2 separate regions of the Mus musculus genome follow, and region 1 is reported to be linked to region 2. The links are microRNA targets in miRTarBase. Many come from high-throughput screens and were not tested one by one. Region 2 holds a microRNA gene; the other region holds the end of a gene's coding sequence.
Evidence for each region. The annotated mature microRNA mmu-miR-9-5p reads UCUUUGGUUAUCUAGCUGUAUGA and lies in region 2 at 2,719-2,741, shown strand. An mRNA with a match to its seed (bases 2 to 7 or 8) in the 3' UTR can be bound and repressed. Matches are read on the target gene's strand: a 7mer-m8 pairs with bases 2 to 8, a 7mer-A1 pairs with bases 2 to 7 and ends in A, and an 8mer does both.

Region 1: the mRNA of Padi2 is a reported target of mmu-miR-9-5p. Seed matches in the 3' UTR shown: 8mer at 4,636-4,643.

The regions. Positions count from the first base shown.
Region 1 is chr4:140,948,947-140,956,057 of GRCm38, reverse strand. It overlaps Padi2 (peptidyl arginine deiminase, type II), which reads right to left. Exons shown (of 16, transcript NM_008812.2): 15 at 6,718-6,846; 16 at 3,472-6,367. The coding sequence ends at 6,134. Gm13031 (predicted gene 13031) reads left to right here. Exons shown (of 4, transcript NR_045911.1): 2 at 6,069-6,217. Among named protein-coding and RNA genes, the nearest start is that of Gm13031, 5.4 kb to the left of the region's middle.
Region 2 is chr3:88,212,895-88,220,013 of GRCm38, forward strand. It overlaps Mir9-1 (microRNA 9-1), which reads left to right and starts at 2,704; the gene lies at 2,704-2,792. The region is part of intron 2 of Gm3764 (predicted gene 3764); the gene reads left to right. It overlaps Mir3093 (microRNA 3093), which reads left to right and starts at 2,277; the gene lies at 2,277-2,363. Gm25641 (predicted gene, 25641) reads right to left here and starts at 2,776; the gene lies at 2,719-2,776.

The sequences.
Region 1 (7,111 bases), not on the chromosome of region 2:
GAATGCACGTCTCTAAGTTCTTTCCAAGAGTGGTGGCTGAATCATTATTCTGCTCTGGTAGCAATGTTTATAAAAGATGATCAATTACTGTGTCAGTGACACTGCCCACCGAGGGGCCAGAAACCCTTCTTAGAGTTTTCATAAGATTCACAGGTTAGGAGGGACTCAAGAGCCACAAGCAGAGCGATGGCTCCACAACACTATGAACCCGGGGCTGGGAAGGTGGCAAGTAGCCATGAAGTCTGCGCTTCAGTTCTCAGCGTTGCCTAAACTGGGCACGGAGGTCCATACCTGTGATTTCAGCTCTTGGAAGGTGGAGGTAGAAGAATTAGAAGTTCAAGATCACTGTTGGTTGCATAGGGAGCTTAAGGCTGTCCTGGGCTAGAGATCCTATCTCAGAAGCAAAGAGAGAGGGAGAGGGAGGGGGAGGGAGAGAGGGAGAGAGGGAGAAGAAAGCAAGCTGAGCAGTGATGATGCACACCTTTAATCTTAGCACTCAGGAGGCAGGAAGATCTCTTAGTTCAAGGCTAGCCTGGTCTACAGAGTGAGCTCAGGGCAGCCAGGGTTACACAGAAACAAATCCTGTCTTGGAAAAGAAAGAGAGAAAGTGAGAGAGCGAGAAGAGAGCGAGAGGTCGGAGGAAAGGGATATCACTTAGTGGTAGAACACTTATCTAGAGAGAAAGCGAGCGAGAGAGAGAGAGACAGAGAGAGAGCGAGCGAGAGGTCGGAGGAAAGGGATATCACTTAGTGGTAGAACACGTATCTAGAACGTGTGAAACCTTTGGTTCAATTCTCAATAGCCAAACAGAGAAGAAGAAAATAAAATATTTCTTACTTAGAACCTCTCCCACTCTGGGGAGTTCTTTCTCACTTTTCCTTAATAAATCTGTGTTTGGTCTGCAAAATTTAATAATATATAAATAATAAATTTAAAAAAAAACAGAAAATAAGTGACAAACCAGCCTGCCTCCATCTTAGACTTAAAAGCCATTGTGTAGTAAAGACACACTACACTCATTGCTGTTTATGACTGTGTCTGCTTCTCAAGGACTGGGCTATGCCCCGCCTGTAACCTTAACTACAGATAGTGCTGAACTACCTGTTCCAGAAAAATGACAACTAAACCTTTGTTTCAGAAGTTGTAACAGACATCTTGCAACCTGGCCTTTGTTTAAACAGTTATTAGGACTACCTTGTAACGACCACCTTGCAATCATGCCTCCGCTTCAAAAAGGTTGTTTTTTGTTTGTTTGTTTACATTTATTTATTTATTATATGTAAGTACACTGTAGCTGTCTTCAGACACACCAGAAGAGAGCATCAAATCTCATTACAGATGGTTGTGAGCCACCATGTGGTTGCTAGGATTTGAACTCAGGACCTACAGAAGAGCAGTCAGTGCTCTTAACTGCTGAGCCATCTCTCCAGCCCCCTCAAAGAGGTTGTTATGATCAACTTATTCTACAGCGGTGATCTCTTGAACACCACGTATTGGGAGGCATCCTGTGTCTGGAAATAAAGACCTTGCTTTAATTCATTGTTGTTCCAGTTACTTCGGTGGTGATGATCTGGGTTGATGGTCAGCCTTTCTCCTTCAATCGTCGGGGTTAACCTTTGGGTCATGAGCATGGCTGTAATAAAGATGGCTGGAGAGATGGCTCAGCAGTTAAGAGCACTGGCTGCTCTTCCAGAGGAACTGGGTTAAATTCCCAGTACCCACACTGCAGCTCACAACTGTCTGTAACTCCAGTCCTGGGGAATCCAATGCCCTGGTCTTGTTTCTGAAAGCTATGAAGTCTATGTGGTACATAGACATACATGCAGGCAAAGCACCTCTAGGCTAGGGTTAATGATGAAGAGGAGGGGGAAGAGGAGGAGGGGGAGGAGGAGGAGGAGGAGGAGGGGGAGGAGGGGGAGGAGGAGGAGGAGGGGGAGGAGAAGGAGGGCTGAGAAAAGGACTTCCTGTTCCCTGCAAGACAACCTTTAACAATAAAGGACAGAGTCAAGATGGGTGTGGGGGGTTCATCCTGACAGTGGGCAATGGTGACATAGCAAAGCCACCCCCCTGCCCCCCAAGATGGCCATAGCTTAGGCAAGAGGACTTTCTGGAAGGTTCTGGAAGGAAGAAGGCTGATGTTCCCTTTGCATTTCTACTTTCTGTGTTACAGAAATCAACTTTGATGAACTATGACAGTCAGATGACTGGATTCTAGGTTTTTGTTGTTGTTTTTCTCTTTTGAGACAGGGTTTCTTTGTGTAACCCTGGATGTCCTGGAACTCTCTCTGTTGACCAGGCTGGCCTCAAACTCACAGAGACTCTCCTGCTTCTGCCTCTAGAGTACTGGGATTAAAAGCATGTGCCACCAATCCCTGGCCTCTCTGGCTCCCTGTTTAGCCTTGGTTTGTCTGGAACTAACTTGCTGCATAGACCTTGAACTCACAAGATTCACCTGTCTCTGTCTCCTGAGTGCTGATATTAAAGGCACGTGCCGTCGTGCCTGGCTAGAAGGTTTTTTTTTTTGTTTTTTTTTTTTTTGTGCATGTAGATCCATGTGCCAGGACAGACATGTGGAGGTCAGAGGACAACTTCATATAGTCAGCTCTTTCCTCCTGTCTTAAAGGTAGTCTCAGAAACAAAAGTCAGCCTGCAGGCTCACGGTAAGCCCCTTTACCCGGTGAGCTACCTCACGGGTTTAACTTGGCTTTATGTTATTTATTTGTATGTACCTGAGTGTGCGTGTGTGCGTGCAGGTGCCCACAGAGGCCAAAAGTGGGAGTTAGCCACTGTCTGGAAGACTAGCAAGCGTGTTTAACCACTGAGCAATCTCTCCAAGCCCCACTCCCTAACTCTGTTCATAATGCAGCAGATACAACCTTCTTTAGATGTTGCCGTAGACTACCGGTGGCTTTCCCCATCAAGGACCAAAGGGGCCAGAGTTAGTGCCCTGCTGGTCAGATGCAGTGGGACCTGCGTTCCATGGGGTTGACTTCCAGGGGCCATCAGCCCTGCAGAGCTCACAGGGGGTACTAGGATACTGGCCCTGCACTGGCCCTGAAGTTACACCCCTTTCTTGTGTCTTCCTTCACTTTCAATGCCCTGTCCCCCCAGTTTCTGGATCCGTTTCTCCTGGAGACGCTTGGCTAACAACTCACTGGCTCCCAAATGCTTATCTCACTGTGTGCATCTGGGGAAACTCAGTTTTAAAACATGGTTGCTTACTTACTGTGGATATTGGTCACGACCTTGGGTAGAGGCTGTGTGACACACAGTCCTGAGAGTGTATGTGTGTGTATGTGTGTGTGTGTGGGGGGCAAGATGGGGTGGTGCTGGGTCCTCGAGATGAGTTTGATAAGGATCAAGACTTTATGTTCAGAACAATAGGAGCTTCATGACCACAAGGGCCACATGTGATCTGACTGACTTGTGTCTATGTCTCAGAAGCCGCAAAGAATGTCACCCAGAGCCGCGTAGCTTCCCGTGGACGGCTTATTTTATTGCTCTTTATTTTGGCTCTTCCCCAAACACTTCTCAGTCTCCATCTTGGCTTCTTCGCCAGGAAGTTGGTACTGCCTGGCTCCCGCCATCTTCCTGCCGTCCCTCAGCCCTTCACGGAGCATTTCAAAACTCACATCGAAACAGGAACTGGTGTAGCCCAGAAGCATCTGGGCCTAAGTTAAAAACAAAACAAAACAAAACACAGTGGGGGTGGGGAAGAGCAAGGAGTCCACCCAGGGGAGGCAAGGGGGCATCCACACTTGGGGGGGAGTCACACTGGGTGAGTAAGTGAGATGGGACAGGCAGTGTCTGAGTCCTGGAGTTCCAGAAATTTCTGAGACAACCAATGCCACCAGGGAGTATTGTAGCAGTCTACAAAGCCACGCGGCTGCCATATGGGAGGTGCTCACTTCCTCCCACCCCAGATAAAAATAAAAGCAGTAAAGTCACTTTAACCGAACACCACAAGCCCCCACCTCTCCACATCAGCTCCCTCAGAGAGGTGCCCGTGTTTTCTACTCTGGAGCAGGAGACAGGATTTGGGGCTTTGCCCTCAAGAGCAGGGACCACTGTCTCCAGAGACAGATGATGGCAGCTTTGGAGGCTCTGAGGCCCGACCTGGCATGGCTGTTGGCCCAACTGGATGGAGAAGAAGACACGACCCTAACTCTCGAAGGCAGTGACTGTTGAGCGTATGCTTATTGGATATACTGGGTAGTGTTCCCAAAGAGCCTACCACAGCAAGGGCAAGTGCGGCCACGTAGATGTGCGCTTTGTCTGCAGGGGACAAGCGAGTCTACGGTTAGCTTATGTTATCGGAGTCTAAGTCTGTGCCCACTGCTCAGTAGCATACAACCCGTTGATTGCATAGCTGAGGAAATAATCCAAGGTAAAAATCTTGTTCCCCTAAGAATGTAGGTCTGGGGCTGGAGAGATGGCTCAGTGGTTAAGAGCATTGACTGCTCGCCCAGAGGTCCTAAGTTCAATTCCCAGCAACCACATGGTGGCTCACAACCATCTGTAATGGGATCTGACGCCCTCTTCTGGTGTGTCTGAAGACAGCTGCAGTGTACTCATATACATAAAATAAATAAATAAATCTTTAATAAAAAAAAATAATGTAGGTCTGTAACCCTTTCTTTGGTTATAAAATGGAGCTGTTTAACCTTTCAAAGTAGAATTAATATTTCCTATCTTCTTGGCCTTAAAGGACCTTTTTTATTTAAAATTTTTTTTTATTTTTTAAATATCATTTATTTTACTTTACTTGGATGTGTGCTTGAGTGTGTGTATGTGAACCATGTATGTGCAGAAGCCCGTGGAGGTCAGATGAGAGCATTGGACCCCCTGGAACTAGAGTTATAGGTAGTTGTGAGCCACCACCTGGGTGCTGAGAACTGAACCCCGGTACTCTGCAATAGCAGATTGTGCACCACCGGGCCCTATCTCTCCAGACCCTAACAAATGTATTTATGTGTATGGGTTTGTACACATGTGTGCAGTGCCCTCAGGGGCCAGAACGGGGTACTGGAGCCTCTGGATCTGGGATTACAGACAGTTGCAGGTGTTGAGAACTGCACTTGGGTCCTCTCCAAGAGCAGGGAGCATTTTTAATTGCTGAGCCATCTCTGCAGCTCCTGGGGGTCTTTCTAATGGAAGCCGAGGGGTAAATTTGCCTGTATCTGGATGGGAGCCTTTGGAAAGCATGCTGGGAAATTCCTCCTCTGGAGCAGCAGCTAGCTGGAAAGGGAGCACTGAGGCTGGAACGTGGCCAGCATCCTTGGACACTGGGGCCAGCATCCATGAGGAGAGATAGGCTGCTTCTCAGGCTCTCGGGAGGCCTGGATCTGGCTGTGTAGCTGCTGGAGGGACAAATGTCCAGAACAGGAAGGTCAATGTCCAAAATAGGAAGAGCAATGAGCCCAAGAACTGGCCAGAGAATTGAGGACCAGGTGAGAGAACAGAAATAGCATTGACAGGCAGGAGCATCTTCATATACCGAACTTTAGACCGTGGATGCTAGTCTGAGACCTCCCCTTTCTCCTAAATTTGGGCAGCCCGCATCCACAGAAAGTGAAGAACGCTCCTCTGCTAAGACCTATTTCTGGAAGATTCTGTGCTGAATGATTGGACCCTCAGGGAGTGGGGACGCAACGTGTACGGGAAACTGTAAGGAATGAACAGGTGCAGGGAGCCAGCCACCAGGAGACCCCGAGGGAGGTGAGCTTGAAGTGAGGGTACCATCCAAGGTACTCCAGGACCCTCTCCTGGTCTACCTTGAATGTCAGATGGATGCTGGGAGAGCCAATGACCTCAGAGCCTCCCTTCTCCCTTCCCTCATTCTGGCCTGGAGTAGAGGCTGAGAATTCCTGGGGACAATCTGACTACATGATTTGTTGATGTCCCCTTTCCCTGGCCAGGGCTCTGCACACTAACCACATGTCCCACTAGTTTTAGGTGGAGGATGGCTGGGCTTACTGGGGTGGGGGTGGGGCTTCAGTGGACACTGAGGTCCTTCTCCAGGGGACAGCAAGGCACATATATCCCCCAATCCCATCTGCTTCTTGTAGGGGAAGGACTTGGGGGTACAGGAAGGACCCAGAGACCGCAGCGGAGGAGGAAAAGGAAAAGGCAGTCAGGGCACCATGTGCCACCACTTGAAGGTGAACGGCTTCCTGCGGACATTGGTGCCACAGTGAACCTCTCCCAGGAACTTGTGGTAGGCGGAGATGTCATCGATGAACGTGCAGGCGAGGCCCAGGGGCTCCAGCAGGCCTCGAACGTGCGTCTCCAGGCAGCACTCCTCCTCCACCTGGGGCCCGAAAGGCTTGGGGATGCCCAGGTCCTTGTCTAGCACGATCATGTTCACCTGGGAGGGGAGCGAGTGTTTAGGGAGCAGCCACTGTTTGCCTGAGGGCGTCAAGTCCTATCTATGTAGGGCGTGTTGTCAGGGATCCTCCTCTAGAGGTGGGGAAACACAGGCACAGATTCTGAGCTGTGATAGTTTTTGCCAAGCACTCTCCTGTCTAGAGTAATGGGCCAGGGGATAGACACCTAGTAAGAAAGCAAGGCTAAGCATGTCACCCCTAGCAGGGAATGGAGAGGCTCAGAGAGGGCAAGGGTCAGAGGTGAGGTTACCCAGCAACTCAGCTGGGCCCTTCTGGGGCTGTTTGCACCCTGCTGGGGGTGGCATGAGGGGTTGGGGCTGGAGTATCTCACCATGTTAGGGAAGAAAGCCCTGGCCTGGTGATTTTCATCCATCTTGAAGAGCGCGGGCAGGTCAATAATGTCCTTCTCAGTCAGCGCTAGCTCCCTCTTAAGGATGTCGCGGTTCCAGTCCAGACAGCGCTGGGGGAGGGGGAAAGAGGAAGCGTTGAAGTCCGGGGACACACACACCTGCTTAGCTGGTATCCCTGTCACCTCTCCAGCATCTCCCCCCAGGGATAAGAAAAAAAAAAAAAAAAAAAGACAATCCATTCCTCATTTTTTGAGACAGTCTCTCTTTGTAGCTCTGGCTGTCCTAAAACTTTATATAGACCAAGCTGGCCTTGAACTCACAGAGATTCAAAGGTACTAGGCCTAAAGGCATATGTCACTATGCCTGGCTTAATGG
Region 2 (7,119 bases):
GAGAGGGAGATTCAAAATAAATAAATAAATAGACAGATAAATAAATAAATAAGTAAATAAATAAATAAATTCTGGCTAAACCTGGTCCTGAGAATGCCCCAAGACATGGAGAGATAAGGCTATTTGCTTGCTATCATCCTTCTGGTAGGGAAACATCTTGTGGGTTTTATCTCATCTCAAGCTGGCCCCACCCACAGCCATGCAGCCAGCATTAATAGCAATGAACATTCAGACATACTCCGTTTTGGGTGAGAAGCACTAAGTTAAACCTATTAGCCACCACCTTCCATCTAAGCAAGATAAGCAGTCCACAGGTCTGGCTTTGTTTTGGGCTATTCATGGGACTAGCAGATAGACAGACCCAATGGTTAAAGTGATAGTCCCCTAAATGGACTGCTGGTGACTCCGTGTTTAGGGGTCCCTGGTTACAGGAACTGGCTGGTTTAATCTGACCAGCAGGATTTAGGCATCTCAGCCAGTTTTATAGAAGGGACCCAGCAGAGGATAAGTAGGAGGATGAAGGGACCGCTCACTGGCACACAGAGCAGCTCCTGGGGCCCATGGTTGCTCTGAGAATTTCGATGTACCTAGAACCCAGATGTTGCCCAACAGCAACTGGCTACTCCCCGGTGCTTTTCTGCTTCTGCTTCTTTGGTGGAGAAAAGGACCTTTCTGGCTGGACTGGATTGAGAGCCAGGTGGAGGAAGTTGAGGACGGGGACAGAGCTTTGCCTGAAAGGCATCTTCCTTGGGGAACCGAACCCAGAGCTGGCACTGCATGCCTGGGAGCCTGGAGGAACATGGGTAGAGGGAAAGACCTATTAAAGGTCTCCAGGACTTGGCCAAATTCTGAGTCTCAAAAGCAGCTAGGATTCTGTGGTTATCTGCAGATAGGGTCAAGGAACATTCCCCTGAAATGCAGAAAAGAGGGCCCCCTTTGCTCGCCCATTGTCTCATAGCAGGAGACTCAAACTGCACAGTCTTCCCTTCAGTGAGGGTTTGAGTTGAAAACCTTGAACAAAAGAGACCCTTGCCTCTCCTAAATATTAGGATCACAGTTTGGGAGGAATTAGAACTCAAAAAGACTCTAACGGTGGGGTGAGGTGGGAGGGGGTCAGAGATAGAGTCTCCAGTCCGCATCCCTGCCTCAACCTCCTGGTGCTGAGATTACAGATCTCTTCTCTTTGAGGGAATTTTGCCCTATTTATTTTCTATTTTTGCGTGCTGGTCTTGGTGCAATGTACCGTAGAGCCCAAAAGGAAAATGTAAGATCGACAAGAAGAGCGAAGGTGGCCATCAGAACCGCAATTGGCAATGGATTATAGACGTGGCAGGCGGGTTGTAGATGAGGCAGCAAAAGACTAAGGATTGGCATAAAGACATTGGATCCCATTCTCTGGGGGAGGGGCACCCCAATTGCACGTCTTGGACTGGCCTGGGGAGGGAGGGGGTCGGGCATGGAAAGGCTGGGGGGGAGGGGGGGAAGAAACGAGACAGTGACGTCAGACCAGGTATAGCCAATCAGGGGCTGACCTGAGGAAGGAGTGTGAAGGGATGAATGAAAAGTCCGGAGCCTGAGAGCGCCCCCGCCAGAGCAGCGGCCAAGGCTGAGGAGAGAGCTGGGACTCGAGACCCTGCTCCACCCTGCTGGCTCTCGCTCGGCCCCATTACCTGGCAAGCCCCGGCATCCTTGACCCACGTCCGTGGCGCTGCCTGGGTAGGAACGCGCCTGAAGACCGCGCAGGACACTACCACTGGGCATCCTGGGTTTGATGTAAGTGGCCTGACCCGCGTGGGGCACGAGGTGGGGAAAGCGCCTCAGAGTCCAGCGCGCGCGTCCGCCACCTGCGACCACGGAGCTCTACACCCTCTGCACGGTCCCTGGACCTCCTTCCAGTGGGTTCAGTCCAGATAGCCCCCTCCAGCCACTAAGGGCATCTCTCACTCAGACCCCCAGTGGCATATTTCACATCTCTGAATGATTTCGGCTGCGTTTTGCACAAAACCGGCTCCCGCGCGGTTCCGTAGGTCCAGGGCTCGGAGCACCTGCCTGGTCACCCTTTGCCCTAACCCGCAGCCCCACGTCCTGACTGCTCGCCCGATTCTCTCTGGGTGGGGTCTTTGCCCTTGGGAGAGTCGCTGGGGAGTCTCTAGATCACCCTCCACCCCGCCGCCAGCCACAGGCTTCCCTCTGGGCCTCGGGGTTCCCCAGTGCTGGGGTTCCCGTCCGGGGCTTCGCGGCCGCTCCCCTGCAGTCGGTAGCTCGGAGCAGCTCTGCGAGCTCGGCTCTGCCGCACCCCGCGGAGCTCACACTCGACCTTCCAGAGAAGGGTGTGGACACCGTGGGAGGTTGGGGAGGCCTCGGCCTAGGCTTCTGCGGTCTTCCCGGATGGCACGAAGGCCCTGGAGCCTTTCCACTAGCACCGGCGGAACCCTGCTTCTGCACGGAGGAGGGAGTGGGAAATGGGCGGTCAGGCTTGGGGCCGCTTGGTTTCAGCCTAGATTCCCGACCTCAGAACCGTCGGCGGTAGCATCTTTTCCTCGCCTTTCTGAGGTCTCGTCGTGATAGTGCGTGAGGTCCTGGATCCCATCTTTTCGCCTCCACACCACGCGCGTCCCCCATCCGCCGTCGAGCGACTCGAGACTACGGAGGTCCAGGCGGTGGCCGGGAGGCTGCGTGGAAGAGGAGGAGGCGGCCAGGAGGCGGGGTTGGTTGTTATCTTTGGTTATCTAGCTGTATGAGTGGTGTGGAGTCTTCATAAAGCTAGATAACCGAAAGTAAAAATAACCCCATACACTGCGCAGAGGGCCTGGAACGCTGGTAGTGGCCGAGCTGCAGGAGGGAGAGCCGTGCCAGGCGTGCCTGGAGGCTGGAGGGCTGGGGGGAGGGGGACTCGTCGCCTTCAAAGGTTGCTCAGCCCGAGCCACCTCGCGATCCCCACCCGCAACCTGCTCACCTGGGAAGAAAGCAAGAAGCCGCTCTGGGGTCGCCTCTGGAGGCCTGGTCAAAATGGAGCAGTCTGGGCCTCAGTCCGGAGAAGCCGCTCCCGGGAGAGACAGAGCCCTTGGCTGAAGGGTTGGGGGGAAAGTGCAAGCATCCCTCTCCCGGTCTCGACGCATCCCGGGAGCGGGTGGCTGGTGTGAGCAGCTTCCCTCTGGCTCTTCGAAGCGACTGGTGGAGTTCGAGGTTCGTAGGATGTCTCTAGAAAGCTGGTTTTTGCTTTGGTGGTTTCCCTGAAGCCCTTCAGCTTTACTGGGAGTCAAGATTGCCCAGGTGGGAACAGGTCTAGGAGCGGGGAAGGCTTAAAAACCAACACACACATCGAACTTATTAGGGAGAATGGCGATGCAGAAACAAAGTAACCACAAGGGCAAGGGCCAGAGTGGCCAGAGACCTTTTTACCCCACAGGAATTCTGGGACCCTGGGGCGCAGGTTCTTTGCTTTCACTTTGGCCTTCAGGACCAGAGCTAAGTCTAACTGAACTCTCTCTGGCTGCTTTGTCATTAGTGGCTAAAGGTGTAGAGTTGGGGTGGGGGGCTTTAGAGCATCCCACCTTTCGGTCCTAACCTCACTCTTGGAAATCGTGTCCCAAAGGAACAAATGGCCTCAAGGAGCTCTGTGGAGCTCAAACACAAAGGAATGTGTAGCTGTGCTGCCCAGAGAACGCAAAGAATTAGAGAGATTAATTTGGGCTCCTGTAAAAAGAATCTATTTATCTTGCCTGACCTAAATATTTTAGTGAAAGAGGGTTTCTACAGCTGAGAAGATGGTCTAACAAACATGGCCAGAGCTAGGAATCCCCTCTGCTCTCATGGCCCTCAGCCGAACTTGACCAGCTGGCACTTGGAGACCTGGGCTGTACCGACTAATAAGAGGCAGAAAACTGGGCAAAATGTCATCACCCAGACTCCGCTGGTTCTTATAAATTTAAAATTTCCTCCCGGGACCTGATTTTACAGTTAGAAGATAATGATTCAATTTTGTATTACATGGGGGGAAATATTAGAGAATCCAAATTCAAATTCTGGGACTTCAGGGAATCTATTGCCTGTGTGTGTCTTCTTTAGCAGTTAGGGGAGGGAGAGTCGAGTGGCCTCTTAAATTCCAGAAGCTTGGAATTTGTTTTGTTTTGGTAGGGGTGGTGGGGATGAAGCTTAAGTCAAGGAGAAAAGAGGCTGGGTCTAGGCTGGAACTAATGGTCTGGCCACAGCCTGTTTTCTTTTTCCGCTGCTTGAGAGATGCCATGTGATCCCATGTTACACAGGCACAAGTGAGCAGCTGACATTACTCACTGGCTTGACACTCAAAGCTCCTTCCATTTACTCTGTCTTGGAGAAAGTGACACTCCCCACCCCAAGGGAGCCAACTGGGAAAGTAGAAAGAAGGGAAGCCTCTCTGTTATTGGGAATTTGCATGGGCAGAGGAGGGGCATCAATAAAATAAGCTTCCTTATCATTACCATCTTTAATGTTTCCTGTATAGTGTCTTCACTGTAAATTCCAGGACAGCCAGGGCTACACAGCCCTCTATCATAGCACAGGCCTATAATCTGAGCAGTTGCAAAGTAGAGGACGAAGGATCAAGAATTCAAAGTCATCCTTGTCTACACAGCAAGTTCTTGGGCATCCTAGAGTCCCCCTAAACACACACACACACACACACACACACACACACACACACACACACACACACCACATATTCCCAGGAACACTTAGAGTCTCAGTTGCTAACCACAGTAGTTTTATATTATTGTTTCCCATGAGCACATTGGATCACAGGCTCTTCAAAAGAGAGTAGAAGGCTTTAGGAAAAGGAGGAATAGAGGCTAGGAGGTTAGGCTGCTAAGGGTTCATGTCTTCTTTAGATGCACACTGACTGTGTATGTGTACGGTACTCAGCAGGGCAGCAGGTGCCCTTTGTGAAGTCCATGTGCCTAAGGGTGAAGAGAGGGAGGCAGCCTGTGTGGATTGGTATAAGGATGTGTGCTGTGCTAGGAAACTCAGCTGGGACACTGGGGATGCTAGAATGTGGCCAGGCAAAACCACAGAAAAGAGCTGGGGTTTATTAAATGCAGACATCACAGTGATACCAAAGTCTCCTCCTCCTCCTCCTCCTCCTCCTCCTCCTCCTCCTCCTCCTCCTCCCCGTCCTCCTCCCCCTCCTCTCCTTTGTTTTAATTATTTATTTTGTGTCTGTGGTTATATATTTGTAAGTCAGAGGACAAATTATGAGAGAGCCTGTTCACTCCTTTAACCCTGTGGGTTCAGGAGATGGAAATCAAATGTCAGGTTTGGTGGCAAAGACCTTTATCCAGAGATATCTCCATGGATCTCTCCTTTTTTTTTTTTAGAAAGTGTTGCCCAGGCTTCCGTGGAACTGATGACAATTCTCCTGCTTCAGCCTCCCAAGTGCTGAACTTCCCCTCTTTATATCATATAGCACCCTCCCTACCCAGCTAAACTGTGTAGGAGAGCTCCTTTGGTCTGAGTTCATGTTTTGTCCACTTGAGAAGTCTCCTTTGTTTAAAAACTGCCATTTCTATTCTTCAGTCTGCTACACACACCAGACTTACTGGAAACCAATTTCACATCTGGTTTCAAAGATGTCTGTCTCTGCGGGTGTGTTTTGCCTGCATATGTCTATGCACCATATAGTAATGCCCTCCAAGGCAAGAAGAGGATGCTGGATCGCCCTAGAACTGGGGTCACGGATGTTTGTAGATGTTGAGAATTGAAAACTGGATCAGTACAGCCAGTGTTCTTAACCACTGAGCATCTTTCCAGCCCCTCAGCTGTTTCTGTGACCCACGTTTTTCAAGCCCTTGCCCTATGTCCTTTTGCAGGGCTCTCAGTATACGCAGCTGAAGGCAACTTTCTTACAAATATTTCACTCCAGTTTTGCATGAATCCAACCCAGAGACAATACCCCCACCCCTTCTAGGCATTGAAAAGGTCTTATTGAGCCAGGCATGGTGGATTGATGCATGCCTTTAGTCCCAGACTTTTGAGACAGAGGCAGGTAGATCTCTGTGAGTTTCAGGACAGCAAGACCTACATAGTGAGACCCTGCTCTTAAGAGAAAGAAAGAAAGAAAGAAAGAAAGAAAGAAAGAAAGAAAGAAAGAAAGAAAGAAAGAAAGAGAAAGAGAGAGAGAGAGAGAGAGGGAGGGAGGGAGGAAGGAAGGAAGGAAGGAAGGAAGGAAGGAAGGAAGGAAGGACAAAATCTAAGAAAAGGAACTAGGTTTTTTTTGGAATCCTGGTCTCAGGCATGTCACTTACACATTACATCTGAGTGAGTTTCCCATGTTGTTCTGTGTAGCAAAGGATGCTCTACACACCATGTGGTGACACCCACAGGGAGGCATTCCTTCACTGCAGAGGATTGAAGGCTACCCTTTGGGGTGTTTGTAACCAAGTAACTGTAACCCTTTAAAGAAGGATTGAGGAGGGTCCCCTTGGTGAGCCTGCCGAGGGAAGAGCTGGGGTCTGCGGGTCACTATTCATAGTCATCCTGCACCCACACCTCTCTGCATCAGATTTCTTGGGACACAGTTTCACTTTTAACTCAGATTGACCTAGAACCCTCAAAGTAGCCAGGGCTGGCCTCTAACTGATGGTGATCCTCCTGCCTCAATCCTCCAATGCTTACAGTCACGCCTGGCTTTGTGTTCTTTCTTCTAAGAACATGTGTGGCAGGTTGCATAATGTGTAAGTGATAGTCAGAACCCTTTGCCATTCAATATCTAGATTTTAGAGTTTCTAGAAGCAGGAGCTGGGCTTAGTGGGTCATGCCTATAACCTCAATACTCAGGAGGCTGAGGCGGGAGGGTCCAGACATCAAGGTCAGCTTGTTCACACTGAGATCTTGCCTAAGAAAATAATTTTTAAAAGACCCCACAAAAGAGGAGATGGGGAGATTGTACCAACAGGCAAGATGGGCCAACTCCCCCCAGGAGGTGAGTGAATTTAGGTTAATGGTGGTTTCAAATGACTGCCGGGGAGGAGAAGACAAACTGGGAGAACAAACATTTGGGATTTGAGGAGAAGGGGGAATAGGGTTATGAAAGGAAGGTTGAGCGTGCTTTTAACTGAAGACAGAGGTGAGAAAAAAGGGAGGCTC